2 linked regions of the Lonchura striata genome follow. The protein of the gene in region 2 purifies or fractionates together with the protein of the main gene of each other region. This does not show direct contact. Links are inferred from orthologs where the notes say so. Each region holds a gene or a part of one and is shown on either strand. Other genes may lie near its edges.

What was found.
Region 1: the proteins of HNF1A (region 2) and PCBD2 purify together in Homo sapiens (affinity purification with mass spectrometry; 4 studies listed by BioGRID and IntAct, with this or other methods). This does not show direct contact. The link is inferred for Lonchura striata from reciprocal best matches to the Homo sapiens genes HNF1A and PCBD2.

Annotation. Positions count from the first base shown.
Region 1 is NC_134617.1:9,285,307-9,301,525, forward strand, and holds the start of PCBD2 (pterin-4-alpha-carbinolamine dehydratase 2), read right to left. Parts: upstream 6,646-16,219; coding exon 6,643-6,645; intron 4,328-6,642; exon of another isoform or gene 4,257-4,327; intron 3,969-4,256; coding exon 3,837-3,968; intron 1,398-3,836; exon of another isoform or gene 1,233-1,397; intron 1-1,232. Other genes in the region: TXNDC15 (thioredoxin domain-containing protein 15), read right to left, coding at 8,766-8,962, 9,630-9,760, 9,955-10,118, 10,810-11,162, 11,241-11,292.
Region 2 is NC_134620.1:4,608,493-4,624,910, forward strand, and holds the start of HNF1A (hepatocyte nuclear factor 1-alpha), read right to left. Parts: upstream 7,332-16,418; 5' UTR 7,127-7,331; coding exon 6,792-7,126; intron 205-6,791; coding exon 5-204; intron 1-4. Other genes in the region: SPPL3 (signal peptide peptidase-like 3), read left to right, coding at 15,189-15,211. UniProt on the Homo sapiens protein: Transcriptional activator that regulates the tissue specific expression of multiple genes, especially in pancreatic islet cells and in liver. Binds to the inverted palindrome 5'-GTTAATNATTAAC-3'.

The sequences.
Region 1 (16,219 bases), on a different chromosome or scaffold from region 2:
CCAGCATGACCTGAAGGCATAAACTAACTTTCTATCCCAGTTCCCAATTTTGTTTGAGCAGACTGGAAGCAGAGGGCTTGCTCCACTGGAAGAAAACCATTTTGTTTCAGTAGCACAAAGATCTGAATGGATGACAACATCACTTCATGGTGCTGGACGATGGCCTGAAATCCTCACCAGCCACTCTTCTCTGCCCTGCAGCCTGGGAGAGAGGCCCCAAAGAAGCTCCCTGATGTGGCTGTGAGGTGTGTAGAGGCTCATGAGCACAGATGCACAGCAGGAATTCAGACTTGCCATGGAGTGCTCCAAGCCCACCTCCTCTCCAAAACCTCACTCACAGCCAAAGGTTTCAGCCAAGAACAAGTTCCTTTGGAAAAGGGACTCAGCCCAAGGGCTTTGAGTAAGTGCACCCCATCGAGGGTCCTGAAGGTAAAAGACTGCAGTGTTAACTCATCACAGCCTACCTGCCACTCCACAGTGGCAATAGTTCAGTGGCATATGGAGGAAGAGAGGCATTGGTGCCATCAGCACAGCTCTTCTGGACACAGAACTCTCCTCTACAGCTGAATTGCATTTTTCCCTCCACCACTGCTGTGTTTATTTTATACAAGATGCAGAACACCAACCCACCAGGAGCCTGCCTCACATACTGGGAGCATACATACAGTCAGGACTGGTGCTTGGTGGGCATCCACAGCAACAAAAACAACCAAGCACTTTCAGTAGAAACTCCAGGCTGGCTTCCAGCTTTTTTCAGAGAATTGTACCACCGAAGTCCATTTTTGTGAAAATGTATCCTCAGACTAACAAACACCATTAGTGCTTTCAAATTCTGGGTTACAAACTAATTCTCTGAGCCAGAAGTGTCATTAGCTTGTCAGCCTTACAAAGGCAGCTCACTGCTGACCGCTTTTAAGTGAACTAATCTCAGCCTGAAAGCTTCAGGAATCTAAATAACTCTTGTTTCACAGAAGTTTCATTTCATTCTCATGCTGAAAATAATATACATAAACCAAGCTCATGTCTACACATTTGCACAACTTTATAATAAAAGTTGTGTTTATATTCTTAACATCTGTTGACATACACAAACTTTGTAAACCTGGCATGGATTTTGAAGCCACAGAATTTTCCATGCATCATGAATATTATCTGCAAGAAGCAATAAAAAAAAAAAGCAATGAATACATTAATCATACCAATATCATCTGCAAAACATAAATTTGAAATACCTTTCATGTCAGCTCAACTACTTTTTTTTTTGCATTTTTGGGGGTGATTTTTTTTCCACACCTGATTTTACACCATCTGTAAAAAGGCAGGAAGAAGATCACTGAGGAAATGACATTTCTCAGTCCTTTGACTTTTACTAAACACTTTAAATCCTGTAAATAGAATATTTATTGCATTAAATGAAAGCAGTTGTATCTACAAGTTCCATTTTTTCATTGCAGGATGAAATTCTCCTAAAGTACAAGGCAGGTATAGCTCCACTTTTGCCATTTGTTTCCTAGGTTGTAGTAAATATGGTGTTTACTGATAGTCATTATAAATACAAGTATATGTGCATAATTTAATAAACTTAAGCATACATGCATAATTTAGATTTATTTTCAGCTCCAACTTATCGAAAGGCAAATACCAGCTAAGGATCTAATGCCCTTGGGATCTGCATGTTGAGCCTGCTCCTGGACTACAAGAACAGAAATGATTTCTGCCCTCTGCAACAGCAAAGGGGACAATGCAGTAAATCCACAAAAATCAGCATTGAAATTCTGCCCTTACATGTTCACATCTACACTTGATCCAACCAGAGCTGCCCAGAGCACCCACCTGCAAGGCTTTTTCTCCCAACTGGGGGCAGAAATTTCATTTTGAACCCAACTCTCAGCCTCTGCTCTTATTTCTGCCTTACATCCATGAAAGCAGCTAAGCATGAAAGACACTGTTCTAATATCTCCCAAAAAATTCAAGTGGCACTTCTTTAAAGTACTCTTCCCATGACTACGGGTACCAGAAGTATTGACATATAGTTCATCATTTACCAACAAGGTAATTTAAATATACTCAACTTCCTATACTGGTATGTGCTCCATCCACCTTCAAATCAGAAAGACATATGGATATTTACCTAAGCTGGTAGGTAAGACAAGTCTACACTGTCAAAAAAAAAAAAAAATACAACTTTGTAAATTTTTGTCAAAGTAATGTGTTTTCCAGATATCTGCTGGTGCAGGACATTGATTTGTCTCCTCACCTGTCTATTGGCAGACAGGGACTGTCTAAATCCATCTGATCAAACTGAGTTACTAATTTACAGTGGGAAAAAACACTTTTTAATTAATTTTGAGGGCAACTTCATTTCTAGTTGCGCTGAATCAACAAAGACTTTGACCACAACCAGGCAGAGATGTAATTTCATGAATATTCAAAGTCAGAAAATCTCTGCTCTTCCAAGGGTCACTTCTATCCTGCCACATTCCTGGTTGCTCCAGCTCCCAGCTGCTTACACATCTCACCAAGGCTTCCTGTGAGCTCCCTCTCATGGGCTTCTCCCCTTCACTGCCCTTGGAATGAACTGATTTGGTTCTATTTGCTCTGTATTAACATTCAGGTTAAAAATGTACTCAGGGTTATGGACATGCTCCCTAGACCAGTACTGTCCTGCTAATGAGCTGGATTTTTCTGCAGTTGTTTTCTCTTTTACTTTCTCCCAGCTCACCTCACCCACCTTCTCTCTACTGCCTGAACTTTCCTTAATATGGCAACTACTGAAACAGTCAAAACAAGGGTCAGCATTACAAATTGTTGTTTATCCAGCTCACTGTGGTTTCCTAAAACATCTTGTTCTGGGTTTAGGCACAGCCATATAAACAGCTCACAACACAGCTCTTTGTCCCTGCACACACCAATAAACCCACAGCATCCCCAAACTGGAGCTTGTCATGTCCCTCTGTAGTGAGGGAAAGAACCAGCTTGGTGAGACCCATCATCCCAAGAAACCCCTGGAAATTCTTTCCCTCCCAAGAAAGAGTTCACCCCTCCCTCAGAAATAAAACAGAAAGGAAATGCATCTTCTGGGAATGTGACTTTTTCTAAGCAATGTCATGATTCCTCAGAAGGGAATTTTCAGTGGAATGTAGCTGAACAGGGATCTCAAGACAAATTCAGTATTTCTAAAGCAAGTTTGCAACTAATGTCTGAGACAAGTTCTTGTGAGTGTGAGATGTCACTCAGGATCCTGTTTCCAAACAAAAACCCAGTGAGGTAAATAAAAACCAGCACTGTGCAATCTGTGTGCCAAAGACACTGAAAGATAGCTATTACAATTCAATCAAGGATATACTAGAACTTTGTCTTCCTGTTTAGAAGGTGAAATGTTTCTGTTTTTCCCACCTTGCTTGCCAAAAGTTTGTTATTTCTTATATTTACCTCTTTTTTTTCACGTATTTCCCTGAACAAAAATGATCCCCACTGCCCATCACTTATATATTTCTAGCATTTATTTATCAGTGCTAGTAATGGAAAAAAAAAATTCAGGATCAAATACTGCTTTTTCTGATTCCACAATACCAGCCTTGCCTCTGACCTGAATATTAGAATCAAGAAACTGTAACATTAGAACAAATCTACTTATCAACTACAACATTGAATTAATTTACTCTACCTAATGAGATCAGAATCTGAGAGCAATTCATCAGGGCAAATCCAAGAGGATTTGGCCCCACCAGGATACTCCCAAACTTCTGAATATAAATATTTTCCCATCAGGATCATATGGAAATTAAAGCAATTACATTTCCTTTATATTAAAAGTGGCATATAACAATCATTACCTGATTAAAATTTTTGAAATTGAACTCCTTGTAGATGGCATCTCTTTCACCCAGCTCAGACCAGCCTGAAGCTTTGAGATCCAGTAAAACTTGATTCCTTTCCTCTGTCGTCAACCAGTGAGACTGGGAGGACTGTTGAAAAAAAAAAATAAAGGCATGGCACAAGTGAGGCTGAGGTTTTCTTTTGTACATCAGTAAGAAAACCACATTATGAAATTGTGGTTATATATGGTGCAAAGGTGAGTATATGGAAAATTCACTGTACAGTTTCTTACCATTTATAATTTCACAGACCAGCTTAACCTAAACCAGCCAAACCCTGCCATTTCTATTTGGGCAGGTAAGTTCAGCCAAATGCTTTTTGTACAAAACTAGTGAAAAGCAACAGACTCCCAGGAATGAAGATGGACATCAGCATACCTGTACCCTTGGTCTTCTGAATTATCCAGATGCTGTAACATCACATTTAATTTCCAAATGTTCCATTCTGTCTGGTAAGTAAAGGATGATTTACATTATTTGCTAAATGTACAATTATAAGGCTAAACAATATCAGGAAATACCTATTTCAAAAGAGAGAAGAGAAACAGGAGTTTGAACTCTACCTACTTTTTATTTTACTATTTTAAGAAAGTGGGGATGGACTTTGAAGACAGCACATGCTGTGGACTTCTACAAGGAACAAAGAGCTCTGTAACTAAATCAAAATAAAAAAAATGTCAATACATGGATGAACCTGCACACGATTACAAAAAGTTTGAAGCTACTGGTAAAAGCACTAGATTCTGTAAAGCACCAGTGTTTAAGTATGGTTTACTTGAAGTGACAGGAGTCCTCCTGATGCCACTGGGTGCACAGACATGACAGATTAACACTCTGCTGAAATATTGGAATCAGGGGCTGAACCACACACAAGGCCAGAGCCAGACACAGAGGAATGTTCTGTGGGGCTTTCGGAAGAGGTCTGATACCTTTTCTAAAAGTGGGGACTAAGATCATGAGCCCTTCCTCAGACCACATATTCTGAGAGATGGGTCTCTGACTCATGATAAATGCAATGCTTCAGTGGGAAGAACCTTTCTCCCCAGCTACATTCAGACTGGCTTAGTCTTTATTTTAGCAGCTGTCTCAGCTTTGTGAGATCCTCCAGAAAGGCAGTTTTGCTCCAGAGGTTCACTCAGACGTGGGAGGCAGCGAGGACCAGCTCAGCAGCTCAGGAGTTTTCACCTTTGCCAGCCGGTGCTCCAGCGGGAGCCCCGGAGCCACCAGATGGGGCTGTGAGTCTGAGCAGAACAGGAATTAACGCAATTAATGCGACCTGAGCAAGGCCTTAAGATACACGAGGGCCAGAGAGCAACATTTTCACCAATAACATAGGATAAAAAGCCCCACATGGAGTAAATCAATCTAACAGCAATACTGTTATTGTTTGTGTTTAGGGGGATACAGAGCTGTAACAAGAGATGGGTTTTACAGGCCCCAAACTGAACAAGTTTAGGGTCATTACACTTCAAACACAATGTTAAGCTTGCAAGAACACAAATTTCAGATTTGTCATTGCTATCTATAACTGCAGTCATAGGCATAAATTTCTTACACTCTTCTTTTTTATTCTTCCCCAAGCATATACAGAAATCACCAAAGCTAAAGGCTATGTTGAAATCTACTGTTTTATCTGGCACAAGATTAAATTAGACTGCAAATGTACAAAAAAATCATGAGGGTGGAGGTTTTTTTTTTTGAGACAACAAAGTCCAGGGCTGCTGGTGTCCCAAACACAAAGTCCAGCTGGCACAGATGTCCTGTGCCAGCTCTGGGGACACTGTGGTGCCCTCCAGACACCTCACCTGACACATGGCCATAGAGAAGACATTGAAATTCGATCCTATTAAAAAATAGGGATACTGAGACCACATTTTATGCAGGCCCTGCTGAACACTGAGCGCGTTTCACATTGTGGAGGCCACGTCCTGAGTCAGCCCCTTGACACATGACGATGTTCAGAAATGGAGCAGAATGCAGGAAGGAAGAAGATAAAGTGGGAGACTGCAATGGCTTTTCCACGCTCAGCCCTCAGCAGCTCATCACGGGCATGGCCAGACCCCAGGGAAGCAGGAACGGGCACCGGGTGCCAGGGCTGACCGAGCATCCGAGCTGCGGGCACCCAGCGCACCCTCAGCGGCTGCTGGCTGCTGGGACTGGCCGAGTGATGGATACTGTTTGTTCAGAGGAAGCTCAGGCAAACAGTCATAACTTAAAAACAAAATAGAATTAACTCTCATGCCTGAGGGGTGAGGGTTGAACCCTGCACCTGCTGTTCACTATGAGCTTTGTGTAAAATAAAATAATCAGCTGTGAGGCGGGAGAATCACAGACTGATTTGGGCTGGAAGGGATGTTAAAACCCATCTGCCATGGGCAGGGACACCTTCCCCTCTCGCAGGCTGCTCCAGCCCCATCCAGCCTGGATGAACACTTCCAGGGATGCGGCAGCCGCAGCTCCTCTGGGCAGCCAGTGCCAGGGTCTCACCATTCCCACAGGGAAGAACGTCTTCGCGATCTCCCATCTAACCTTCTATCAGTGTGAAGCCATTCCCCCTTATCCTTTCCCTCCGCGCCCTCGTCCAAAATCCTCTCCAGCTCTCCCCATGGCTCTCCCCATACTGAACGGTGCCAAGCAGGTCTCCCCGGCGGCCTCTCCAGGCTGAGCAATCCCAATGCCCCAGTTCCGAGGGAACAGGGCCGGGACTGACCCGAGCGCGCTGCCTGCCCATGAGGGGCCCGTCCGCCCTCGCCCTCACCCTCACCATGGCCGCGGGGCTCCCGGCGCCGCCCGCCGCCCGCCGCGCTCCCAGCAGCGCCCGCCGCAGCCCGGCCCCGCCGCCCGCCATGGCCCCGCCGGGCCCGCCCCGCCAGACCCGCCCCGCCGAGCCCGCCGGGCCCGCCCCGCCGCCCGCCATGGCCCCGCCGGGCCCCGCCCCGCCGAGCCCGCCCCGCCGAGCCCGCCGAGCCCGCCCCGCCGCAGCCCAGCCCCGCCGAGCCCGCCGAGCCCGCCCCGCCGGCCCCGCCGCCCGCCATGGCCCCGCCGGGCCCGCCCCGCAGCCCGGCCCCGCCGGACCCGCCCCGCCGGGCCCGGCCCTGCCGCAGCCCGGCCCCGCCGCGCCCCGCGGGGCAGCGGGGGCAGCGCGGGGAGCGAGCCAGGGGAGCGGCCACCGGCCAGGAGCGAGCAGGCTCAGGCACCGCATCGCTCTGGGCCGTGCCCTGCAAGGAGGGGGGGGGACACCGATCTCTTCTGCCGTGCCTGCAGTGAGAGGACAGGAACTGGCCTGAAGCTGAGACTGGAGCATTCCGATCAGATGTTAAAGAAAACCTTTTCACTGTCGGGGCGGCCGGGCATTGTTCCGGCTGCCCAGGGAGGCGGTGGGGTTGCCAGCCGGGAGGGGCTCCAGAGGCGCGGGGATCGGGCGCTGGGCCATGCGGTTTAGGGGCTGGTCTGGACGGTCTAAAAGGTCTCTGTTAACCTTGATGTTGCCATGATTCGTGACACCTACCCCGGAGGAGAGCGGCCGGCCGCGGGTGGATTCTGTCACACAGTGAGCGGGCAGGTGTCATTCCCACCCCACTGAATCAGCCCCGTTCTGTTTGTAAAAACATCCCTGGTAGCGGTGTGGACGTGAGCACCGGGACAATCCAACCCTGGGCCTCTCAAACGAAGCAGATGGCCAAGGCAAGAATGCTCCAATCTATCGTTCACGGTCTTTATTAATAACATCCATCAGGCTTATCTTCAATAACACCGAAGTTTTACCAGTGCAGTTTCCTTTTTGGACACAGATATACATGACCTCTTGGTTTCCAGAGGAAAAGATAGAGCCAGCAGAGAAATTAATGAAGGGATTACATTAATTACATTGCGGGGATATGAGCTATCTGTTGAAAAATAAGTCTTAAGACTATCTTTGTTTTATGTTAATTTGCTCTCTAAACCACCCTATTAGGATACTTTGGCAAGCCTCCACCATGATAAATTTTATGCAATCACATAATCCAAACCCCACACAACATACCAGCCCATACCTTATTCAAAGCCCTCCATACTAATCATATCTAAAAAAAACCCATAAATTCTTTATGTAGCCTCAAGTGGAGAGTGTGGAACTAGCAAACATGGTATTAGAAATTTAAATAAACATCAAGGCTGGTCTTGCTATTTAGGCAGGTGAGCTGTAGTTCAGAAATTGCATGTTTTTACTTCTGAAAAATACATCTTAAAAGGTTACACTAAAAACCTGATTGATTTTTTTTAAAAGGACAATTAATACAATTTCATCCAACGGGAATGTGGTAAATAAGTTGTATACACACACAGGAATAGTGAGGTGAGCTTGGAAGTGACTCTAAATCTCACAGAGAATTGTTACTAAGTCAAAACTCAGAGTGAAGTGAATGAGAAAACCAGCACTGAACCCCAGTGCCAGAGGTGGGAACAGTCACCTCCATGGGAGTGAAAAATCATTTAAAACATCTTCATAGTTCATTTTATGGACAGTCAAACTAACGTACCAACACCTCCCTTCACCAGTGTTTGCCTTGTAGTGCCACACACAGACCAATGTGCTGTAAAAACCTTCCCTGATCTACAAATTGGAACTGCAACACTAATTACATCAAAATCCATTAAAAATAAGTAAATCAGAGCAGCTTAATAAATACTTTAGTTCATATTTTTTCATACTTGTTCACTTACCACTGGAATCGCTACAAATGTTCTTGTCACAGATTCAGTAGTTCATAAATAAAGTCAATTTTTAGTCATTATTATAAATTACAACCAACAAATTCAACAGTTCATTCTTAGGTACTTCTAGTCCATAGAAATCCCCACTTTACCAATAAGTGGAAAATTTTGTCCCTGTTTGAACCTCTGAAGTTATTCCTGATGTTCGTGCTCTTGCCCCGGGATGAGCCAGCGGATGCTGTCGGTGCGGATGGTGGCGTACATGACAAAGCCAGCCAGGAACAGCACCGAGAACAGGAGCAGCCAGTCTATGCCCTTCGTCAGAACACTTGGCAGGGGCCCCTCCCAGTCTTCCTCTGTCACAGCCACATCACTTCTGGCTTCTATCCCTAAAAAACAAAGTACTTGGTCAACATCATAATCACTAAATACAGAGTAGCTGCTTCTATCTTGAGCTTTGCTCCTGCTCCCAGACTAAGGCTCAAACACAGGTAGACTTAAAATTTTGGTGAGATTATCCTTGTACAATAACATATGCCCAGGATATGATTTACTGCTATAAAAACGTAGTGATTTTTATGGGAGAAGGCTTGTTCTGTCCTCCCACAGCACAACCCTGGACAAGTTGTGGGGGTGGACATTTAATTTAGCATGTTTCAGGAATCTCATTTTTGTGCATTTCTGGAAATGCAGATCCAGACAGCACTTCAGTGTGGATTAGAAGAGAGCTAGCTGAATGGCAGAGAGAGGTTAATTTATTTCACTCTCAATTAAATCTTTGGGCAGGAGGATATACTCCATCCTTCTGGCAGCCTCCCTAGCTAAACCCCAGCGTTCCCCCTGCTCTGTGACAGCACCCAAGGAGCTGAGTTCCTTCTCCCAGCACAGGCTGAAATCCAGCTCACTGCAGCAACTGATTAAGTGAACCTCTGCTAGATCCTCTCAGGGTTTTTATGACATTCATTTTAAAAAACACACACAGGGACAGGAAAGCCCAGTTTGGACCTTAAAGCCAGTCTGTTCTTCCCACTGGCAAACCAGGGCTGATTTACACACCTGTCTGGTTAAAGATGAAGTCTTTCAGGGTTTCCAGAGTTCTGTCTGTATGATTAAACCTAGCCATAGGTTTAGCACCTTGGAAAAGGAGAATATTTGGTACAGCCACTGTTCCAAATCTGGTTGATAAACTACAAAAACAAAAAATAAAGTATAAAGGAAATTAAATTTTCTGGAGGAAGAAATAAAGACAGTCACAATACTGAAGTGTCAGTTTCACTAAATAAAATTGTCAGTTTATATAGGGAAAAAAGGTCACTCCTGTTTTTAAAACTCAAAGCTAACAGAAATTAAGTGCAGCTAGAGCATAGGGAGTGTGAGTTACCTGCTGTGCTGGGATGCATCCAGTGCCAGGAAGCGAAGAGTTGGAAATGCTCGGGGCAAAGAGTTAAAATGAGGTGCCAGGCTGGCAGAAAAGCGGCACCACGGTGTGTAGAACAGGACCAATGTACAGTCACTGCTGTTTGGGTTCAGGAACTCCATGAGGTCCTTGGAGAAAGCATGAGAACAAGCATGGACAATTACATATTTAACAGGGTTAAATTCTGTGTAGGGATGCAGCATTCAGCAATCGATTACATACTTGGCAAAACCGATCAAGCAGCCTTACCTTTTGAAACAGGTGGAGAATTGCATATAACCTTTTTTAAAGGTTGCTTTAAAAGTTTATTACTTAAAAATATACATATACATAACCATTACAAGAAAAGAGCTGGCACTAATTGCCATTAACGATTTCCAAGTGAAACACCAGTCCACAGAGCAGAAGAGCTGGCAGTACCCTGCAGACACAGAGATAACAAACACAGGCACATGAAACGAGCCGTAACTCAATTTTTCCGGCCCAGAATGGCCCAAAAATATACATATACATAAGCATTACAAGAAAAGAGCTGGCACTAATTGCCTTTAACGATTTCCAAGTGAAACACCAGTCCACAGAGCAAAAGAGCTGGCAGTACCCTGCAGACACAGAGATAACAAACACAGGCACGTGAAACGAGCCGTAACTCAAGTTTTTTTTCCGGCCCAGAATGGCCCAAAAAGCCTCCTTGCCCAGTCATCTATTTTCTTCGGTAGAGCCGTTGCACAGGGAAATTCACTACGTGGAGCACTGAAAGCTGACGGGGCACCCTCAGCGCTCACACCAGCGCCGGGCAGTGCGCGGCCACCCGCCTACCTGGGACACGTTCAGGATCTGCAGCGTGAAGCGCTCGATGCCCGTCGTGTTCCTCTCGTCGCAGTTCACCTTGGGAGCCCTGGCGCCGTCGGTGCCGTTCTGCTCCTCAGCGGGCGCGGGCAGCACGGCCTCCAGCACCGGCTGCTCCCGGCCCGGGGCGGCCGCGGGGCCGCTCCCCGCCGGGCCGCACGCATCGCCCGCCGCATCGCAAACCCCCGCGGGGCCGCCGCTCGCCCCGGCCGGCACCGCCGACAGCAGCACGGGCTGCTCGGCCAGGGCGCCGCTGCCCAGCATCGCGTCCGCCATCTCGGCCGTGCGGTACCGCACCGGCTCGGCGCCGCTCCGCTCCGCTCCTGCGGGGAGAGAGGCACGGAGGGCCGGGTCAGCGCCGCGCCCCGCCCGCCCCGCGCACCCGCAGCCCCCGGCCGCACCTGCGGGAAGGGTCGCTCCGAGCCAGGCCAGCGCCAGCAGCAGCCGCCACATCCTCACCCACAGCCCCGCGGCCGCCGCCGCGTCTCCCCGGACAACGAGCGCTTCCGCCGGAGCCCGCGACACTTCCAGTTCCGCTGCCCCCGGACGGCCCCGGGAAGGGCTCAGCTCGTGGGGCGGGACAGCGCAGCGGGGCTGCGCTCCGCTCCCGTTGGGCACAACGCGGTGGCTTTAACCGAGTTTTCTCGCCGCCCCGCCGAGCCCCGAGCTGGGAGCGTTCAGCCCGGAAAAGAGAGGGCTTCGGGTGACCCGATTACGGCCTCTCAGTACCTGATGGGAATTTATAGGGAGGATGGGACAAGACTGTTTACAAGCGCGTGTTGTGACAAGGAAGAATGGTTTAGATTAGATAATAGGGAAAAAAATCTTTACCGAAATTATTTTCAGAAAAAATTTACTGCGAGCATGGTGCGCCCCTGGCACAGGCTGCCCAGAGCAGCTGTGGCTGCCCCATCCCTGTAAGTGTTCAAGGCCAGGCTGGACGGCGCTTGGAGCAACCTGGGATAGTGCAACGTGTCCCTGCCCATGGCAGGCGTGTGGAACAAGATGTTCTTTAAGGTCCCTTCCAACCCAAGCCACCCCATGATTGTGACCCCGCCTTGCAGGGCTGAGCCGCACGGTGATGCCCGGGCCGGCTGTCGGGCTGCTGAGGCTGCTGGAAGCATTTCACCGTTGATTTAAATCAGTTCAGGTCGGAAATTCTTGCAGCGAACAAGTGCCATCCCATGGCTTCGGCGGGCTGCTGCGACTGAGCAGTGATGCCTGTAACTCCAAGCCTGCTCTGGTACCAGCCCCAGCTCTTCCCACAGCCTGGCGAAGGATTTGCCTGCTCCCACCCTCGTTAGGAAGCACGGTCCCGTCTGGGAGTTGTCTGCACACAAACTGTGCCTTAACCTACAGCACGCTGGGGTAAGAGTAAAAGGCAGCAAACTATAAAATAGTTCTTGTCCAGCAGCTTATCAACCAAAGCTCCCAAGCAGAAAGGCAAGATAAATACTCCCATATTCCTTTATAGGAAATTGTATTTTTCATGTTGCAGAATTAGTTTTTACTTTATTTCAGTTTAATAGTGAAGCCTCAAGACTCTTTGGGACATTTTGAAAATGAACACATTACTTCCAGTGCTGCTATCTTTTTGAACACACTTCCTTAAAACTGCCAGCAGTGCACAATGAAATTTTGCCACAGCTCTGCATCTGTCAAAAACTGATAAGTCATGACTGAGGGGAGCATGAACCATGCACATGGGAATAGGGCAGGAAAAAGCAAGTAATTGTGTATAAATGAAGATGGGGGTCACTTATTACCGAAACTGGACGTTTAGCTTTGTTTTTACTCAGGTGTACTTCTCCAACTGTGTCATTCCTTACAGCACACATTTTCTCGCTTGAAGCTTTTTCTTTTGAAGTCAAATTTGCATAAGCACTAATAATGAGGACATAATAGTCTAAAAATAGAAAACATGAGGTTTGCACATAGAGGGAAAATATTTAATTAGATCAGCTGATATGGAACAAGCCTGAAAGCAAAAACACAAAGAGAATCCAAACCAGCGCAGACTAGCAAAGAACAAGCTGCCTCATTCCCCCTTCTCCTTATGTTTTTGTCAAAACAGCATTTTAACTTGAAAACAATTTCTTACTGTGAATTTAATCCTAACAATCTCCTTCCTGCCACAGCACAAACATACCTGGAATACAGGCAGAATAATGAATTATGACCACCATTCCATTAAAATTTTATTTATGAGTACTTTCAGTTTGATTTCCATGTGCAACAGAGGAAAAAGTTAGCAGCTGACTATTTATCTATACAGGGTTATAGCTCATTTCCTCCCCTTTTCTCCACTTTGAGCAAAAGAAGAAGTACAATTAAGTTAATGTCACATTGTTTTCAATTCATTAAAAAATAAGCAACATTCCTCTATCTCCTGACACTGGCAACTCAGTCTTTTTGCCTTAATGCAAATACATGTAACATGTCTGTAACAAGCAGGTAACGCTGTCAACTCGCATCTTCAACTAGAATTTAAAAGGTATTAAAAAAAAACAACAGGGAAAACCAGCTAGGTCTTAAAGTATTAACTTTATTAATAAATATACATCCATATGATGATGTAAATACAGATCATGAACACTACTCCATTCCCATACACATAATTGCACACGAGTAGCTCAAGTTCATGGACATAAAAACATACACAGTATCTAATCAGGCTTTTTACAGCAGAGGACAGGGTGCTGATACTAGTTATTTAACAGATTACTGTTACCCCCAAAGTAAACCTGTGGAAAAGCAAATGATGAAAGATTGAAGGAACAGAAAGTGGTTCAAATTTCAGAATACAGTTTCTTCTATTTCGGAAAAAAGTCACAAGGAGAAAGGTCTAGTCTTAATAATAAGTCATAAATATATGTAGCAGTGTTAAAATATATGCACTAAAATAGAGAAGAATGAACTTTTTGTAATCAGAAATGAAGTTTGCAGTTCCAAGTATTTATGATTGTTATCAGCTGTTTTATCTGTCAACTCTAAGGGTAGTGTGAAACATTATTATACATATAACAAAGAACAGCAGAGCCACAGCTAATGAAACCATTGCACAAATGACTTCACATTGCTCTGCCTTTTAAAGCTCTTCAAAACGGGGGAGGGAGTTAAAATTCTCACTGAATTACTCAGTGTATTGTAATTCCAGGTAATTCTCTTCACAGATACATCACTTTTCACTGACAAGGCTTGGTTGTGTCCTGACTGAATATTAAGATCCTTCAGACAAAATGAAAATATATTCATTCAGAAGAGAAATCTTTAATGGCTCTAGTTAATTTGATTACTTTAAACAAAATCCAAGATTTAAAGAACATTGCTTTAATGACAAAGCTAAGTGCTGATTTTAAAAATACCATCTTTGATACCAAAGTCAGCTGCTGATGGTATCTGATTTTTTTCTGCCAAAATATGATGCTAGCATCTTGAATCTGTCCAGTGCAAGACTTTATAGTAGCAAAATTATTTGGTTTTAAAGTTTAAGTAAATTTAATCAAGAAAATGAATAGTAGTTATTATATGTATCTTAAACAGTGAACTTTATAGCATCATTAAGGAATAATAGCAAGCTAATACATTTCATTTATGTATAAATAAGACATTAGAAACTTGATAATTAAAAGAAATTATTAAAACCTAAACTTGACATGTCGGTCTTCTGAACAGTGTTAACACACAACAGTGATCCTAGCTTATGAATAGCTGAATTATGATATATAATATAAAATAAGCAATTTACCTTACAAGTAATGTTTTCATACTATGGGGGGAAAATGCCAGTTTTCCCATTGGTACTAATAAAGTTTAGGCATTAACATGCTGTTTCAGTGTTTCTCATGGAAAAAAAAAAGTGTTGAAAAAAGCACAATGTATTCTGCAGAGTATACACAGAAGAACAGAAGTATTTGAAAATTCCATTTCTAGTCACTTTGAATCTCCTCTTTTTTTTTCCCCTTCACTGCATGGCACCAGTAAACTCTAGTCAGATATAAAATAAAGTAGAATTAGGAAATACCAGCAGTGCACTTCTGATCTCCTTCCTAAATCCAGAGAGCCAAGCAGCACAGTGCAGGCTCTCTGAACACTTTTCTATTTGATGTTCATCATTTCACAACTGACAACATTAATTAGTTTTTAGTGGGATTATATTTCATCTGATATAATTAATAAACACTGTAATGAACAGAAATTGCTTAGGTGATTTCATTATTTCATCAGCATACGTGAATACAAATTATACTAGCAGAACAGCAATACATCTGCATTATCTCCTGACACACAGCACAGCACCATTGAGTGGATGCACAAGTGAGGAACGGACAGGAGCAAACAGGATCAACAGGAGGAGGTAAGGAGTGGAGTTTTTCCAAGGTACAGTGGTGACATGCAACACGTTCCTTGCCAGCGAGGTGTGACACTCCTGCAGTTACACATTCAGCTGAAGAGGACTGCTTGCCCAGCTGAGTTCAGGAAAGAACTTAAAGCAGTCTTTTGTTGAAAAATTATCTGATTAAAAACAGCCAATAAAACACAGATCCTGAGGGTGAATGAACTCACATTAGCATTTTGCACGTGTCAGAAGTTACATCTTCTGAGAGAGACTGCTAAATTTCAGACTTGCGAGTTTGTTGAGGAACAGAACGTACAACTGGATTTCAGAGCTTCAGCATGAAGAAACTATTCCTTAGTAGCAATTTAGCTGCCATTAGTTCATCTACTGACTAAGGAGCCATCCAGTATAAGTTGAGGTTCATTGTCTTAGTTGCCAGTCCATACACAGTTCCCCCAAAACAATTCAACACACCTATTGTAAAGTACAGCAAAAGTCCAGCTCAATATGTGTTAGGCATCACTGGAACACCTGAAGGCTTGCTGCTTTTTTCCTGACAAAAAAGGTATGAGACATGACATCTGTTTCTTAAGTTGTCATCACTGAAATCAAGAGGTCTAGTCAAAATGACAGCAGGCCAGAATAGCATTTATGTTAACAAAAATGACCATCGTTACCCATTCAGCATAGGCTCAACCCAAATATTATACGCCCCCCAAATCTGCAAAATCTACATATTCCCCCTCCCCGGGTATTTCAAGCTACAAATATATCATAAAGTCATTTTATATGTGAAATTACTTAAATGTAAACTTTCTTCCAGATTAAAAAAGAAAAAAAAAAGATGAAAATTAATTTAGAATGAACACTATGTAACACTGAGGACTATTTTTTTTTTTTCTTTTGAAGTCTGGATTAAAGTATTTTACACAATCACACTCACACATTCTCCCACACTTAAAAAAAATTACACACATCCAGTTGAAAAATGGAACATTTTTTTGGGAGGAGGGGAGGTTTTAGTTTGAGTCAAGAAAGTAT
Region 2 (16,418 bases):
TTACGCTGGGCCACCTCTCGCTGCTTTCGGACATACCAGGTGTACAGGGCTGCCCGTTTTTGGGTCTTCATGGGAGTGCCCTTGTTGAGGTGTTGTGAGAGGTGGGATTGGTTCAGACCAGTGGTGTCCACCACCTCACGCTGAGGGATGTTGTGCTGCTGGAGGTAAGACTTCACCATCTTTGCTACTCGCCAGGGATCCTCTCTGGAAGGAACAGAAAACCTTTCTCAGGGGAGAGAGATCAAGCACCTGCTCTCAGCAGACCTGGACTTCAAGGAAGTGCAGTAATAGCTCCTGAGTGGCACTTGTCAGTCATCACCATCACGTTTGGTGAGGCCAGAGCGCTCATTGCCTGCAGGGGAGAAAGCTGTTCCCCAGTGTGCCTTGCTCAGTTCTGACTCTGTGTGCAGGGTAAAACTGCATCATATTGGAGATAAAGTGCAAAAAATGTAGCACTGGCTTCCTTTGAACTGCTGTCTGTACACGCTTAGGTCTGCCCTTAGGAGGAGACTTTGCTTACCAGGGAATCTCCCAATACACAGAGGCAACCTCTCTCTTCCATTTCCCTGTATTACTTTTCTTCTCTATCCCCCTCTCATTAAAGCAGATGGGGCAGATGTACTGAATTTCTCAAGACAGATTGATTGTGATAGTAGACTGAACTTGACTCATTCCCTGATTATGGTCCAGGTTGGGTTGCCTTGCAATGATTCAGCAAATGAAAACAGGCTGTCATTATGCTGTGACATGGCAGCTCTGTATGCATATGACAAATCATCCAGAATTATGTTTTTACACATCTGCTACGTGTTACTCAAACACATTGGTTCACACCTAGATCTACTCAAAGCTTCTAAATGCAATGTAGAACCACAGGCAAACCACTGATTCCTCCTACTGTTGCCCTCCTTTTGGTAACAGCTGAGGGAATAGAACTATTTAAGACCGCTCACAAAATCTGAGGAACAGTTTGGGATTTTATAATTAATATGATCCTCTGGGCTTTTTGATATCCAGTTAGAATATCCCATTAAGGTTCTTGAGGAAAATAGAGAAAACATGACTGTGACTTTATGTGTATTGATTTCACCCCAGCTGAAAGTCACAGTAGAAATAAAGAAACACATCAGTCTAAATCCAAGCTGTGCCAGAGCACCTCTGCAGCACAGCTCCTGGCTCACTTTGAACAAGAGCATCCTTCTGTGCCTTCTGTGTGAAGTGTCTGGAGGAAATGGTTTGCAGTGCTGTAGGAAGACACTGGTGTCATATTCAACACCAGCATCAAAGGAGCAGTGGGGAGAAAAAAGGTGCCTGGGAGGGTGCAGAAACTGTCTCAAGAGCACACATGTCTGAGCAACAGGCAACAACTGTGCTGTTCATGGCTTTGTTGACTCAGGAGGTTGCTGGAGGCTGCACAGTGATAAGGAGGACAAAGTCCACACCTGTTCTCTCAGTACAAACACCCTTATCTCTGTTCCCCTGCAGCCCCTCTCCCAGGGCCTGTGTAGTCCAAGGAGCAAGCTCCAGAGCAGTTAAAGTGTGACACAAATGGTGTCAGTTACAGCTTTTTGAAAACCTGCTTAAAATAGAACCTTAGTTTCTCTTTTACATTGGAGCACTTGCCATAGAGGCTTCTGATTTTCAGCATCTTCCCTTAACTATCTTTGACTTTCAAAAACCTCAAATTGAGCTGAATTTAAGAAATCTTTTCTTTCCTTGTGGTTCATTTTATTTGTTTGCTTCTTTCTTTCTGCTGCCCAAACCAGTCTCCTGCCTTTGTGCTTGTGATAGTCTGCCTAGCACCTGCACCCTGTGTTCATTGTCCAAGTCCCTCTATAGAGGAGAAAAGCCTCTGACTGGGAAGCTGACTTCTTTGATTTGAGTTCTGGCTCAGATAGGAGGAGGAAAGACTGTGTTGTCACTGATGGAAGCCTCTGTTATGTGTTAGTTCCTTTCTGCACCCCAGTCGAGTCAGTTTTGTCTCCTCTGTTGAGATCCTCATTTTGTAGCAGGAATAAACAGTAGGTTCTGTGAGTCTCTTCTCACAGTAAAGACTTGTGGGTTTTGTCTTTTTTTGACACAGCAGGAAGCTTTGTGATACAAAATAGTGCAGGGGATCTTAGTAGTGTGATTTCCTAGGACAGCTGTATGAAATCCTGGCTACTCTGTACATTGTCAAAGGCCAGTCTGCAAAACCAATGCAGCGAGTACTTCAGGCCCAAGGCTACACCACAGTCCAAGTGATGACAGTCTGGCCAGCTGAACCCTTGCTCAAATACACAATTCCACCTGCAGAGCCTTCATCACAGGCTAAGACATCAGAAGTTGAGACCTCTTCTATTTCACTGTCTTAAGAATATCATTGACTGTCAGAGGGAGGATTTCACTCTAAACTGAGTTCTCCTGCTTGTTGTTACAGCCAAATCTCAATTGTTACAGTGAGTCAGAACTGCACAAATAGGTCTGCTTTGCTCAAACTCTCCTTCCCTATCATCTCCAATTTTCTGCCTTTTAGTTTCCCTTTCTCCTCAGATAGCAAACTGTCTCCCCAGGGTCTTGTTCTCCAGGGTGTAATCTGTCTCCTAGTTGGTCTTACACAGGTTGCTTTTACTTCTGTCTTCTGAAGTCTTGTTCTCCTGCTCTCAGTTGGTTATTGCCATGTGAGCATAGCCCTTCTCCATGGCTCATCCCCAGCACAGGGGCCAGGGTCCTCTCTCCATGTCAGCTTCCCATTTTCTTAGTTCTGAGGTCACTTTTTAAGGGCGTTTTCACCTCCCTTTTGTTACCTGAACAATAAGTAACCCAGGTAGTTAGTTATAAACTCAAAGGGAACAAGAGGCTGGTTGATAATTTATAGCAACATCTCAAATTTAAATGGAAAGTAAATATCAAGTTGTTAGCATTAAAGAAAACCCATTCCAGAGAGCTGGAGATGTAACATTCAGGGGACCTTCTCCCTCCTTCACTCTTCCTGACTTCTTATTTTTCCTTTGTTCTTTTCTTTCTTTTCCTCTTCCTCGTTCTGTCTCTCTCCCCTTCTTTCCTGTTCTGATTCTCAGGTGGGAGAAGCCTTCATTTCCCTGAGGTGGGTTCTGAATTGCTGCTTTGGACCAGACCCTGCTCAAGCAGAGGTTCAGAGCTGTGAAGTGCTCAGGACCATCCCCAGCCCTTTCCTCTGGAGCTGCTCCACAACTCAGTGCCCAGTCTGGAGCCAGGCTGGGCAGAGGGAAGGTAAGACCATCCATCCTGGCAGAGCTCCTTTCTGTTGAACTTGGCCTGGTTTGCCTCATCTTGGTTTATATGTGGAAATGAAAGGGGTGTGGCAGCTTCATCTCCAGATTCCCCAACTAGAGCCATTCTAAGCAGGGGAAAGACTGAACCTTTGTCATTATATATCTTTGTTTTCATTTTTCCTTCTGGGAAACATGCTTTTATATCTGCTTCCAGGGGAAATCTGTTGCTTATCTCAACTTCTCTCTTTCCTAATGGAATTTCAGCCCTTGCCCTACAGGTGGATTGTCACTATACCTCTCTTCATTTGCTTTACCTGCAGTAGTATGATCCCTTCCCCCAAGGTAGCCTCCTTCTTGCTTTATATTCTGGGAATGTCTGGGAGTTTCTCCTCACAGCTCTACCTCCCTACTGAGTCATTTATTTCTTATCATAGATGCAATTTGTTTTGTGTGTGGATTGATATGGAAAGAATGTTTTTATTCAAACTGTAAATCTACAGGAGATCAGTGAGACATATGAAAGGACAAAATGAAATTATGTTAATTGCCCACTAGAGAAACCTTTATCTGAACTGCTTTTAGCATGTTTTCTCTGCAGGGACAAAATCTAATCAACACCCATGGGTGCACCCAGTCCTGTGAGTGTATCTTGTTTGTTCTACTCAGCTTTGACCAGAGTTTTTCAAACCAGTTTCAGCTTCAGTGGTCCTGTGAAGACATAGTTGGTCTCTTGGTGCTGTCAGTTTTTTCTCTTCCCAGCTCCTGGAAAGCCTAATAATGGACACTTTTCCTGATTCTATTTTATAAAGCAATTACCACAGACTTTCCTGTATCAGCAATAGCTGCCCACAAGTCAATCTGTCTGTTGAAATTTGGTCTGCAGACCAGGAATTGTTAATAATGCCCAAAGAGGCTTCTGTCTAAAGGGAGATTTGCCTCCATCTGATTTCTGCATTTGAAACCCTTGTGTAGATGGTGAAATAGTTTTGCAAGCATTGACCTTTTGCTGGGAATCCATGGGCATGGAGATTCTTGCCTGCCTTTCTTTTGTCTATTGCTGGAAGTAATTTCTACCATAGACTATTCTGCCCTGCTTTACAATACTTATAGTATTATTTTAAGGACATTACTTTAAATCTATTAATGGAAAGGTGTGGTCTTAAAACCAAAAAAGTGTATTAGTAGATAAGAACTTCTTGGGTATTATCAAGCCCTGATACTGGTTCAGGTGCTTTGAACACATTTTTAGACATTCTGTTGATTTGATGAGAAATGTGAAATATGTCAGTGTAGGCTTCCTACTCTTTTCATTTTAACTTGATTAATTTAAATCTATTCTAGACCTCCATAAGTGTACTTGTAATTTTTTTCTGACACTGAGGCTACTGGTGTCTTCATCCTATTGTCAACAGCAGAAGTGAATTGCTCTGTCCTGTGGTGGGGGAGATTGATGGCAGAGATCTCTGTTTCAGAGTAAAGCCTTTGTAATTAAGAGGCAGTGTGAGGCTTAGGAGATCCCTGTCCTTGCCCAGTCTCCTCTGTGCTGTCTCAGGGGTTTAGGTAGGTCCTAGAATTTGTCTGTACCTCAGTTTCCATTTGTGAAATGGAAATGCTGCTCAGCACACTGTCTGACTGTACATCAAAAAGTGTTAATATCACAGCTTTGGAAGAGAGGTAAGACTTGTGGTGAGACTGGTAAGCACAGGGAAGACTGGCAGCAAGATCCTAGAAAGGCAGGGAGGATCAGAAGCCAGAAATGGTGCTGAAGTGAGGGTGACAGGAAGGAATTGCCTCCATCCCTGTGTCTGTTCTTAGATCACAGCAGATGTCACTTCAGTCCTGCTTCACCCACTCATTAGAGAGAAGGGACAAAGCCAGGGAGGTCTTCCTCAACTTCCATGGCTTCCTCTCTGGAGAAATACTTGATAAACCATCAAAAGTTAATGATCAAAAAGCTTATCAAGGTATTTTCATCTATAAATTTATAAGACAAAAGAGAAATAATAAAGCCATTGGATAATTAGTAACTAGCCAGGGCCCGCCCGGTGCCACTGGGCTCAAACTGCCCCAAGACCTGTACGCAGACTCAGGAGGATGAGAAGGAGACAAGGATGAGGGGAAGAAAAAGAGTGGGAGGCAGAGAGAGAACCAGCCAAGGACACAACAAAATGGGAGGAATAGCAGCAGAAACAATAGTGAGGAGAGAAGGGAGATAGGTAAAAAGAATCTGAAAAATGTAAAGGAAGTAGAGAAAACTTAAAGATGTGGAAGAGCTGGAAGTGCAGAAGATGAGAGACATACTGGGCCAGGAAGAAGAGAGAATTACTGGGAATATTTTCCCACCCAGGTAAGAGCTGATTTCCTCTCTTGGGTTCTGCAGAATCCTCAACTCCCAATCTGCCAGGGAGCTTTCTTTTAAGTATTTACAGGGAATGCTAAGTCTTGTCATGCTCTTTTCTTAACTCTGGCCTTTTGTGGTGGGATTTGATGTTTGCTTCTGCTGTTATATTTTCAGTTGTTTCCTTGGCAAGTGAAAGAGAGTGATCAGAAAGCCTGAGAAATTCCGCAGCTAGATTTTTTGTGAAGATTTTAGGTGCAGGATGTTGCTGCACCTCTGTCTTCTGTCAGCTTGTCATTTCAAAATAGCCCTAAAGCAGTCAGGAATCTGTTGTGATGGATGGTAGGATGGGCCTGACCCTTGCTTGGACAAACTTTGGTCTCCCATGGGGATTGTATCCCAGTAAGAATCCCAAATGGGAAATTGAGTGAATGCTTCTCTGACTTTATTATGAGGCTTATTGATTCAGGGAGCTTTCCCTGTCTTTTGATCTCAAAAATGCTTGTATGCAAAGGCAAATTTTATGTGGCAGCAAACTCTGTAACTGTTGCTGCGTATGTACTTTGTAACTGTGATGGGCAGTGGGTGGTAGAAGCAGAGTGTTCTGTCCAGGTTTTAACCTCTGCATCATGTATTTGGGGTGTGCTTTTTACAAGAAAAATCCCCACCAAAGTCAGGGCACTTCACACTCAAAAGAACAACAAGGACAGGGTCTCTTGATTTGGCTTTGGCCAATAATCTATAGCAAACCTCAGTGAAATTAACAATATAATTATCCTTAAATACAGCTGGGAAACATTACAACTTCACTGTACCATTCATGCAAATATAGCACCAGCTCAGAGTGACCAGTTGGTTTTTTTTCCCTTCCTGATGACTGAAATTTTGAATTGTATTAAAAATTTAAATCCTAAACCTTAAAATTCAGTAAAAGAGACGAGAGCTATACAGGCCTTGGACTATTCTGAAGCCTGATGCTATAAGCATGTCAAATATGTAATCAGGCTCCATAGCTTCCTTAATGCATTTTAAGCGAGATAAAAGGAAAATCTGAGCATTTATAAAGCATTTGGGGGTGTTTGGGGGATGCTAGTCCTGGCTTGGGTGAAGATTGTGATCAATTGTGAATACTAGGGACACTGAGGAGAAGGGGAAAGGAAAAGAGATTTAGAGGGAGAATGCAAGAAAGCAGCAAAGAGGAGCAGTAAATCTGTCCTTACTGTAATAGTCTTTCCACCACAGCCTTCTGGTGAGCAGCCTCCTCAGGGCTCAAGTTTTCCAGCTCCTTCATTATTGGAGGGGTAAATTCCTCTCCGTCATCTGAGGTTTCATCTTCTGATACCCGGGGCTCCCCCATTCCGTTGGGGAGGTTGGGGATGTCGGGACAGGGCTCCCCTTTCTCACTCTGGAGGGCATTGATAGCGCGCTGGCTTTCACTCTGGAGCCCGTAGGGTTCCGCTTCGCTCAGTGCCTTGATCAAGGTCTCCTTGGTCAGCCCCGACTCCAGCAGCGCTTCCAGCAGCTCCACTTGGAGATGAGTCAGCTTCGAGACCATGGTCTTCAGCCTGGTGTCTCTTGGGTTTGAATTTCGGGTTATCCTGCTTCCAGCTTCCCTACACCATGTTCCTGAGGTAACGCGCCCGACTGTCAGGAGAGTGGGCACAGCGCAGCCTCCCGCCTTTACACCCCCCAAAAAAAACAAAATACAAAATTGAGCCACTTCAGACCCCCCACGACTGTCCTGAGCCAGTGCTGATAAAGGGACCCTTGGCTATCTGTTTACATTGGAGCAAATGTAAATTCTCCAAGGTTCATATTTATCTGTGTGCTTTAGCAAGTTACTGAACTTTGGACTTCAGCACTGCCGCAGCAGTTCACAAAGTGCAGAGGGAGAGAAAGCAGGGGGAGGGGGAAAGGGAGGGAAGCAGGAGTCAGAAGGAGAAGAAAATGAAGGGATAAAAAATCTGCAGCATGGAAAAGTGAGTATGGAAAGAAAACTAGGAAGATGGGGATGGAAAAGCATGGCTTACTTGTGGCCCCATTCATTTTGGAGAAGGAAGAAGGTGGAGTACCCAAAAGGAGGAGCTGTGCTTGACTGCCCATGGTTCAGGACAAGGTGCTGCTGTTGGAATATCACAGAACCTGCTCAGAGCTCTGTCACTGGTGAAGTACAGCCAGTGTCAGGCCCTGCCAGAGGCTTTGGGCTGAGAGAAAGCCACACTGGCTGCGCTGGTCTTTGTGCAACCCCCAGAAGAGGGGAAAGTGACCACTGGCTTTATGTGAACATTCCCAAACCTCACATGGTGTTCTGAAGCTCCAGCTGATTTCTGTGGCAGACCATCAAGACTTAAGTGACATTTTCATTTCTGGCTTTGGCTGCTGGGTATCTTGATGTTCAAAAACTACACCTTTCCGTGTTTATTGCTCAACTATGAGCAGAAGCAGTGTTCCCACACAATCTGGGGGACTGCAGGACTTGCCCCTCTGAGCTTGTGATTAATGTATTTGATAAAGGATATCCCTGGGTGCTGGGTCATGCTCATACCCCTGTTCTATCATCAGCCTGCCCTACTGCTTCTGATGAGTGCTCTGGGCAAGCTTGTGGTTCCCCTTTATCATCTGCCTCCATCCCTTCTTGATACCAGCCCTCCTCTGAGATTCTGCTCCCACCTGTTGGGTGATTTCCTAAAACACAATCCCTGGCTTGGCTGGAATTGCTTAAAACAATTCTCCAGGAATCTTTTTGACTAAATTCTCTTTTCTGATCTGAAATTATATGAATGAATCTATCTACTTTGAATGGCTAAATTAGGGAGTAACTTGATGTGCACACGTGGGCTCGATGCACGAGTGTCTCATGCGAGTGATCCTTTGGAGGATGTAAAGCTGTGGTCTCAATGGAAGCTTGCCAGGACAACTGCCTGTGTCTGTACACTCCCATGGAGCCTGAGCTAAATGGAGCCTGGTAGGGCTGTCCCCAGACTGGGCAGTGTCCCAAGACAGTGCTGCAGAGGACCTTGGCTCCTGTTTTCCATCGTGGGCAGCACTGGCCAAGCTCTCCAGGCTCCTGAGTCAGCAGCTGCAGGACAGGGTTCCTGCAGGGACCCTCCTCCCTCCCGGCACCGGGCGGGATTGTGTTAACTCTTGCCTTTTATTTCAGATCTGGTCTGTGCCCAGAGCACCGCGTCCCCTCCCTGCAGGGCGTTAACAAAGCTCTAATGGATACTGACGGCTTTGTGTGGCTAAAACGAATGAGAATTCCGAGTCCATGTGAAACCATTTATTTGAAGAAATGTTCATGTGAGCATTAATGTAAAGACAACTTCAGCTTCTAAAGATTTTTTTGGGGTCATATTCTTAATAAAGAGTTGTGCTGGTTTTGCACCCATCACAAGAGTATTTAAAGAATGGTGAGCATTTCTGGCATTGTACTGTCACTGCGTTGATACAATTTCCATGTATTTTATTTGTTATTAGTTTTCCTTCATTCCCGCCCCTCAGGTAGATATGACAACATTACCAGCTGATAACAGTAATTTTCAATTGTAATTACAGTATCCAACCATGACATACGGTTTCTGCATGATATGTCCTTATAATTCAAGGATTTTGCAAACAGACACAGCAGATTGTGGAGCTCTTGCAATATGTGACAGAGGAGATGCTGTCATTCTGTGTTACTTATTTCTGCCTCTCTTTGGCATGGTGATCTCTTTTACATAAACCAAGGTGGAAAATATTACCACTGTTCTTGAGATTGTCCATATTCTGTTGGTATATAAAACCTATTGAATGTTTGAGGGGTGATGGGGAACACAGATCATTAAGTTTAAATAAAGAACAGCAATATTTGTCAATAGAAGCTGTAAAGAGAAGAAAGCATAGCAAGAAATTAGGTCTATGTTATGTGGTTTCAAGGATTCCTTATGCACCCAGAAGTCCTGATGCTGCTGCTTCTGCTTGCCTTGAGTACCTTAAGCTCTAGAAGCTTTTTTTTGAGACCAGTGAACGTTGAAGTCTATAAAACCAGAAATGCACATCTGTTTGTATGATGGAACCTCCCTGAATGCCACAACTGGATGCCACGTGGACAACGCTTAGCTGGACAAGGAAACATTTCAAATACTGAAGAGGTGGTAAATATTCTGTATCACTTTATCCTGAAAGGCTTTTTCTCTTGGTCTATTGGGATTGTCCATTTTAAACTGTAGGACAATTAGCAAACAACTAAATAAACTTACCCACTTTCATTTTTCCATTCATTGGAACCTGCCAGGCCGTGCCAGTGAATGGCTCTGCCCCACTAAGTATTTCAGATCCTCAGTGCAGGAAAACCAGTGAGCTTTTCAGTGTTTCTTAAGTGGTAGAAATAGCTAGGGGTCAGACTGAAAGGGATTCCTGTTGTGAATTAACCAGCATCCCTATTTTATAGCCTGGCACTAAAGATTGCAATATCAGATTTATCAGATTATTACAAGTGCAGTTTTGAGTTGATGAGAGAATGGCAGAGGTCAAGGGTGGAAATAGATTATAGTTCTATTGGAGGAAGAACTCAGTTGCAGAGTGCCATAATCAGACAATGTTCTCCTGAAACTGAATTGTACTCAGGGATGATGCCTTGAGGGTGAATATTTGAAATAAGGGGACTTGTGTTTCCTATACCCATTTTTATCTATTACTAGTGCTTACTCTATGTTGATTTCCTTAATTGTAACCACATCCTAGGTCATGACTTGATTCTCAGGTCACTCTGATTAATATGATCTTGGTCCTTGTAACAGGGGAAACTTAAAGTTTGAAGACACTAAAAGATACCTGCTTGTTTTTCTCATGTTTACAGTATTTGCTTTTGTATTAACTGTTCCAAAGTAATCTCTTCTTCTCTCCTGTATCTAATAAAGTGAGTGAATTACTTAACACTGAAAACACTGCATGAAAGTATGAATGGGTACACAATAGGAACATTATTCTTATTTTACTGGTCTGTATTCTGCTTATTGCACTAGGCCAAACTCACAAATGAGGGACAGCAGAGTCCTCATGGAAGGCAGAATAGACTCCCAAACCCTCAGTCCTGTATCAACACCATTTTTACCTCTGATGTTTTAATGTACTGAATTATATCTATTATGAAGTGTACATGATGAAAAACACAGTAATTTGTTGGTACAAAGCCAGTGTAATGCAGCTTCAAGGAGCACACAGAGAAAGAAAAAAGAAGTCTAAATATATTTATGATAAAAGTGCTACTAGAGGGAGCTCATATAATTCCCTGAATAGAGTGGTAAAATTGCCATTGGCAAATGAAACATGGAGAAATGGTTCTTTTAATAATTCTTTACCATTTTACTGTTCTTCCTGCTGTGGCTGATAAATGCTTTACTGGCCTGAAAGACATTAACATAATCCCCTCCTTGAAATGTGAGAGCTATTATGATAATTTTCACCCTTATTTCTGTTATTGGGGAAAAAAAAAAGCTACATGAGTCCCAAAACCGATTATTATTTGTGCATTGGGAGCTTAGTCCCAAAAGGCACACAGGAGTGTGAAAAATCTGAGATAAATGTTATTTATACCTTGTTATCACAGGGTTGGATTTCAGCTATTTGTGCAAACCCTGAGTATCTCAGTGGGGAAGGACTTGCTTGAATACATGGTTTTAATGTTTCCAGTATATACCCATTTAGATTCTAATGCAGTAGTCTTTGGTGTAAATATGTGAGTGTAATTGGAAAATGTGATTTTACCGAGAAGGAAGCTGGGTTTTTTCATCAGTGGGCTGGGCTGGATGCAGGGCTTGGAGTTGTGATGTGGTAAATCCATCGGGCAAATGGATTTAAATGACAAACTTTCTCTACACATTCCTCCACCTGTATGTGGAAACAGGACTGTGTCCTCCTTCCCAGTCATCTGTCATTTTCTCTCTCCCCTTACTCCCTGTTTCTACCATCACGCTGAGGGTGAGGGTGGAGATCAGGAGCAGCTCTGGAGCTGGGTTATGAAGAGGTTTCCCACTAGGTGGTAGTGAAGAGAATCGTGTCACACACGGTCACTGCACGTTGTAATTAGGTTTTATAAAGGGGAATCCCACAAGGATCTTACAAGTAAATAGCCTAGTATAGCTCCCAGCTGTACAGTCAGAAGTGGATCTCTTGATTTTTGGTTTTTTTTCCTTCCTTTTCTGCTCCTGTCCATGCTATTTGTTCCTTCCTAAACAAAGCAGGGTTGATAACTATACCTGTCATGTCCTTTCCTGAAGGGTGAAGTGTCTACATGAAGCTCCTCTGGTTCTCTCCACCTCCACTACAGCAGAATCAAGACATGGTTAGCTAATGTCATCTGCTGACATTTAAACAGCTTGGAGGTGAGGACTCTGTAGCCAGTACTTTAATCTGATTTTTCTGTACCTACCATGCTTGCCTCTGGGAGCTGCCCTTCCAAATATAAAAATAATTTTTAAAAGAGTTTTGTTTGCTGCTAGTTCTGAAATACCTTGACAGGTCTAAGTAAAGCATCAGTCTACATCAAAGGTTCCAGGCAGAACAGACATTTTGGGAGGACTTTGTAATGTCACAGTAAACTGTCACTAAAATTCAGACTAAAGTTCTCTTGTAGGTCCAAAGAGAGACTGTACAGAAGATACAATGAGAAAATTATCTGAGGAATGCAAGCAGTGCTCCAGTTTGCAGTTGAGAGTAGATGCTGGGTCTGCAGGGAGGAATAAATTTCTCCTGTGAATTCATTACATCGCTATCCTGTAATGATAGAGCAAGCTTGCAAAATCATTTAATAGTCTAGTCACAAAGCCTGAGATGCTGGAAAGAAATTATACTTTAATTGCTCATCAGCTATAAATCATTTGTGCCAAATTAATGTGCTGGAAATTTTGCAAGACTGAGAAACTGGAAGCTGAACACAAAACAGGGATATTGTTTCATAGATAGCAATATCAGTTTTACATCCTTCTCAGCAAAAAGAAAATTTGGAAAGGCTCTTTAGTATCAAGACAAGGCTGAAGACTGATTTATTTTTCTCTGCATTGATTTAAAAGGACAGAGAGGTCCTTTTTTCTTCTTACATTTACTCTGTTATAATCAATGAAAAGGGTAGCACCAATAGGCATTCCAGGCATTCAGGTTTGCACCAGAGTAGAGTGAGGATTCCAAATTGTTTATTTATTATCTAAGCATTTCTGCAGGTCTTTCTGCTGTGCTGAGGAGAACAAAAGCAGGCACTGTATCTACTGTGCAAACCCTACCTAAGATTTTTGTTTTTTAGACAGGGGATCTGTATGTGGGAACAGCAGTTTCCCCCCAAACTCACAGAATGGGCTGTGGACCCCACTGTTCCAGCTCTGAGCATGACTCCTCCCTCCTCCTCTCATGCCCACCGAAGCTCACCGATCTACCCAGATGGGCAGAGGGACTGTGCACAGGGTGCAAGCCGAGGGCAGAGATCAAACAGGGCAGGAAGTTTCTCCAGTTAGTCCAGCCTGAACTGGATGGGAGGAAAGTTTAACATTCCTCACCCTCTCATCCTTCCAGCACCCCCAGCTGCCAGGACTGACCCCAGCAGGGATCCCGTGACCCAGTCAGGCACAGGTACTTGGAGCATTTCCACCTCATGGCTGATAAATCCCATTCTCAAACAGATTTAGTAAGTGGGTAAAGAGCTGATTATGTCGGGAGCTCTAAGGTCATTCCTGTCCATGAGGCCAAAGGGCTGGGAAGAACACTGAGGATTTGGGTGCTGAAGTGACACAACCCATATCACTAGTTTGGAAAGCATAAAGATACAGGGGGAGAAACCCTCCGTGTCCAGCACCATCTTAATAAAAGCCATGTTTAACTGGAGCACAGGAGTCCCAGGCATTCCCTCCACCAAGTACACCTGTGTTGCGTGTGCAGCATCCTCCTGCTGCAGCTCCCCAAAACTTCAGGTGGCTGCAGCACTTTGCAGTTCCCTCTGCACTGACTAATGATCTGAGCTAGCAGGGATGAAGTGATCTGCCCATGATTACACAGCAACTGGTGACACAACAAAGATGAACAGAGACATTCCTTAGTTTTAATCCTCTGTCATGACCATCCAGCAGCCTAAGGTTTTTCCATTAAAGAGAATAAATAAGATGGACAGCATGAAAATAATTTATTCAATCTACTACTAAAGTGGGCTCCAAATTTCGGAGGCATCTGGCATTCCTGTAGATGCAATGAGAATGTCCCAGTGTCTCATTATTTTTTTGAAGATTCTATCGAGGCATAGAATTTCTTCATACTTGTTTTTAAAACAAATAGTTATTTTTATCATCCCCAGGCATTTGTGCTTCTATTTATATTTGATGCAGTTACATCACCTCTAACTGTATGTTCAAAGTGGCTGTTCTCCCTCCCACACTGAAAGGGACAATGAGTGGGAATGCACAGCTGGATGGGAACAATTGATCCAAGCTCTGTAAAGCCCCACTTGCACAAAATTGCTGCAAGTGAACTCCCAGGAGGTGAGGATTACTGACGCAAGCAAACCCAGCAAAAAGCACCAGTTCTGCATTCGGCAGAAACATAACGAAGGGCTGAGGGTTTGGCAGCAGAAATCAGACCAATATCAACGCAGCAGTTTCTCTGCATGAGACTCGCACAGGTTTAATATCAAGCTGGTGATAAAACGAAGCACACATGATTTTTATTTGGTCAAAGTGTCTGGAATGCTATTTTCCGTACCTAAAAAAAAAACAAAACATTTTGAGCATTTGATCCTATTGATTTTACTCAAAGTCCACAAATCCAAAAGTAATCTCTAGAAACACCTGTGCGTTTGATGAATTAACAACGCAGTATGAATCATTTTACCTGAAGGGTGCATTTACCGCGCACCCCGCGCTCAGAGGAGCGCCGGGACCGCGCGGGCTCCGCGGGCATCCAGCGCCGCGCCGGGGCGGCGGGAGCGCCCCGGGGTCCCTCCCCGGCCCAGCCGCGAGCCCGGGGGAGCTGCGGGCACGGAACCCGGCTCGGGACTGACCTGGGGAGCCGCGGCTGCCCGCGGGAGGCCCCGGCCCCGAACCCGCCCGCGCCGTTCCGCCGGGGCTCCGCGCCCCCCGGCCCCGAACCCGCCCGCGCCGTTCCGCCGGGGCTCCGCGCCCCACAGCGCCTGCGCGCGGCCGGCGGCGGCGGCACGTGAAGCTGTTGTGGGCACGTGACCCCGCGCGCCGCTCGGGCCCCGCCCCTCGGCGCGGCTCCGCCCCCGCCGTGCGCGAGCGCGGGCACGCGGCGCGGCCTGGCCCGGCCGCCCGGTGCCGCCGCCTCCCGCCCCCGCCCCGCCCCGCGCCGCCGTCGCCGCCGCCGCCGCCCCGCCGGCCATGAGGCCCCGCCGGCGCCCTAGCGCGGCCCAGCGTCGCGGCTGCTGAGCCTCCGCCGGCCCCCGCGGCCACCCTCGCCCTTCCCGCTCGCGCGGGGACCCCCCCCACCCTCGGCTCCCCTCCCTCCTCACAGCCGCCGCCATGTTGGGCCGGGAGCCGCAGCGGGGCCGCCACTGAGCCCCGGAGCCTGCGAGGAGGATCGGAGGAGGAGCCCGGTCCCGGCCGCCCGCGGAGCCCAGCGCCGGCCGCCCAGCCGCAGCCATGGCGGAGCAGACCTACTCCTGGTGAGCCGCGGGGCCGAGGCCGCGGGGCCTCCGGGCCGGGCCGAGCGCGGCCCCACGCGGGGACGGGGACCGGGCGGGGGCAGCGGCTGGGGCTGCGGCGGGGCCGGGGCACGGAGGGGCGCGCTGGTGGAGGGGCCGCGGGCTGAGGGCTCGGCGCGGCTGAGGAGGAGGGATTGGGGGACAGGAGGAGGGACGGGGCGGCCGGGCTGTGCGGATCCCCCCCGCCGGCAGCCGGGCAGCAGGACGGGATCGCCGGGAGCGCTGGCGAGGTTGTCACCCCCTGTCCCGGAGGGCTCCGTGCGAGCTCATCTCTGCACGGCCGGCGCCGCCGTCCGCCGGGCCTGGAGAGGGACAGGAGCTCGTTCACGGCTCTGAGGCTGCAGGTCACCTCTGCCTAAGGGGAGATTTATGCCAGCGCAGGCTGGTAAATCGGTGGCATGTGTGTGTGTTTTCACCTAGCGACAATAGGCTTGGTCTGTGTACAGGAAATAGAACGACGAGGAACAGACCAGTTCCTGTGGAAAGACATGAAGTATAGCAAATGAGAGGGCATTTTTTTCTGTGTCCTGACACTGTCTCGGGCCTAGCTGGCAGTGGATCAAAGAGACGAAGTGCAGTTTCTTCCTATAAATCTGGGGGTTTTGTTCTGTTGTGGATCACAGCCAAAATACCTCAAATAATTTACCTGCGCATCATCTCTATTGACCTGACCACTGCAGCAATTTATTGTGATAGTCTCACTGCATTTTAAATCCAGTGATGTCATCCAGAGCTGTTTCTTAGATTTTTTGAATAAAGTTACTTGTTTTGAAATAAGTCCCTTATTAAAAAAGGAGTTAAGTCTTAGTTTTTGACCTTGGTGTGTACTGAATGTGGAGAAGGGTTTGAACATGCAACAAATATCCCTGTTCTGAATGGTCCCATTACTTTTCGAAACTTGGAACCCTGTGGGGATTTCTGTTCTGCCGCATGTTGAGACTTTGTCAGCCCCTTTTTCCCTCTCTTGTCTCTTCTCTGTCAAGAACCAACATTTGTATCAGTCTTCTGCTTTTTAGATGCTCTTATTTTGTTTCACAAGCTCAGTTCAGGCAGTGGTCTGGTCTGCTTTAAAATAGCAGTGAAAGGACAACTCTTTTGACTTAAAAGAGCATTTACATATTGACACAGTAAATGAATATTGGTACAGATTTAGGCAGTTTAATGTAGT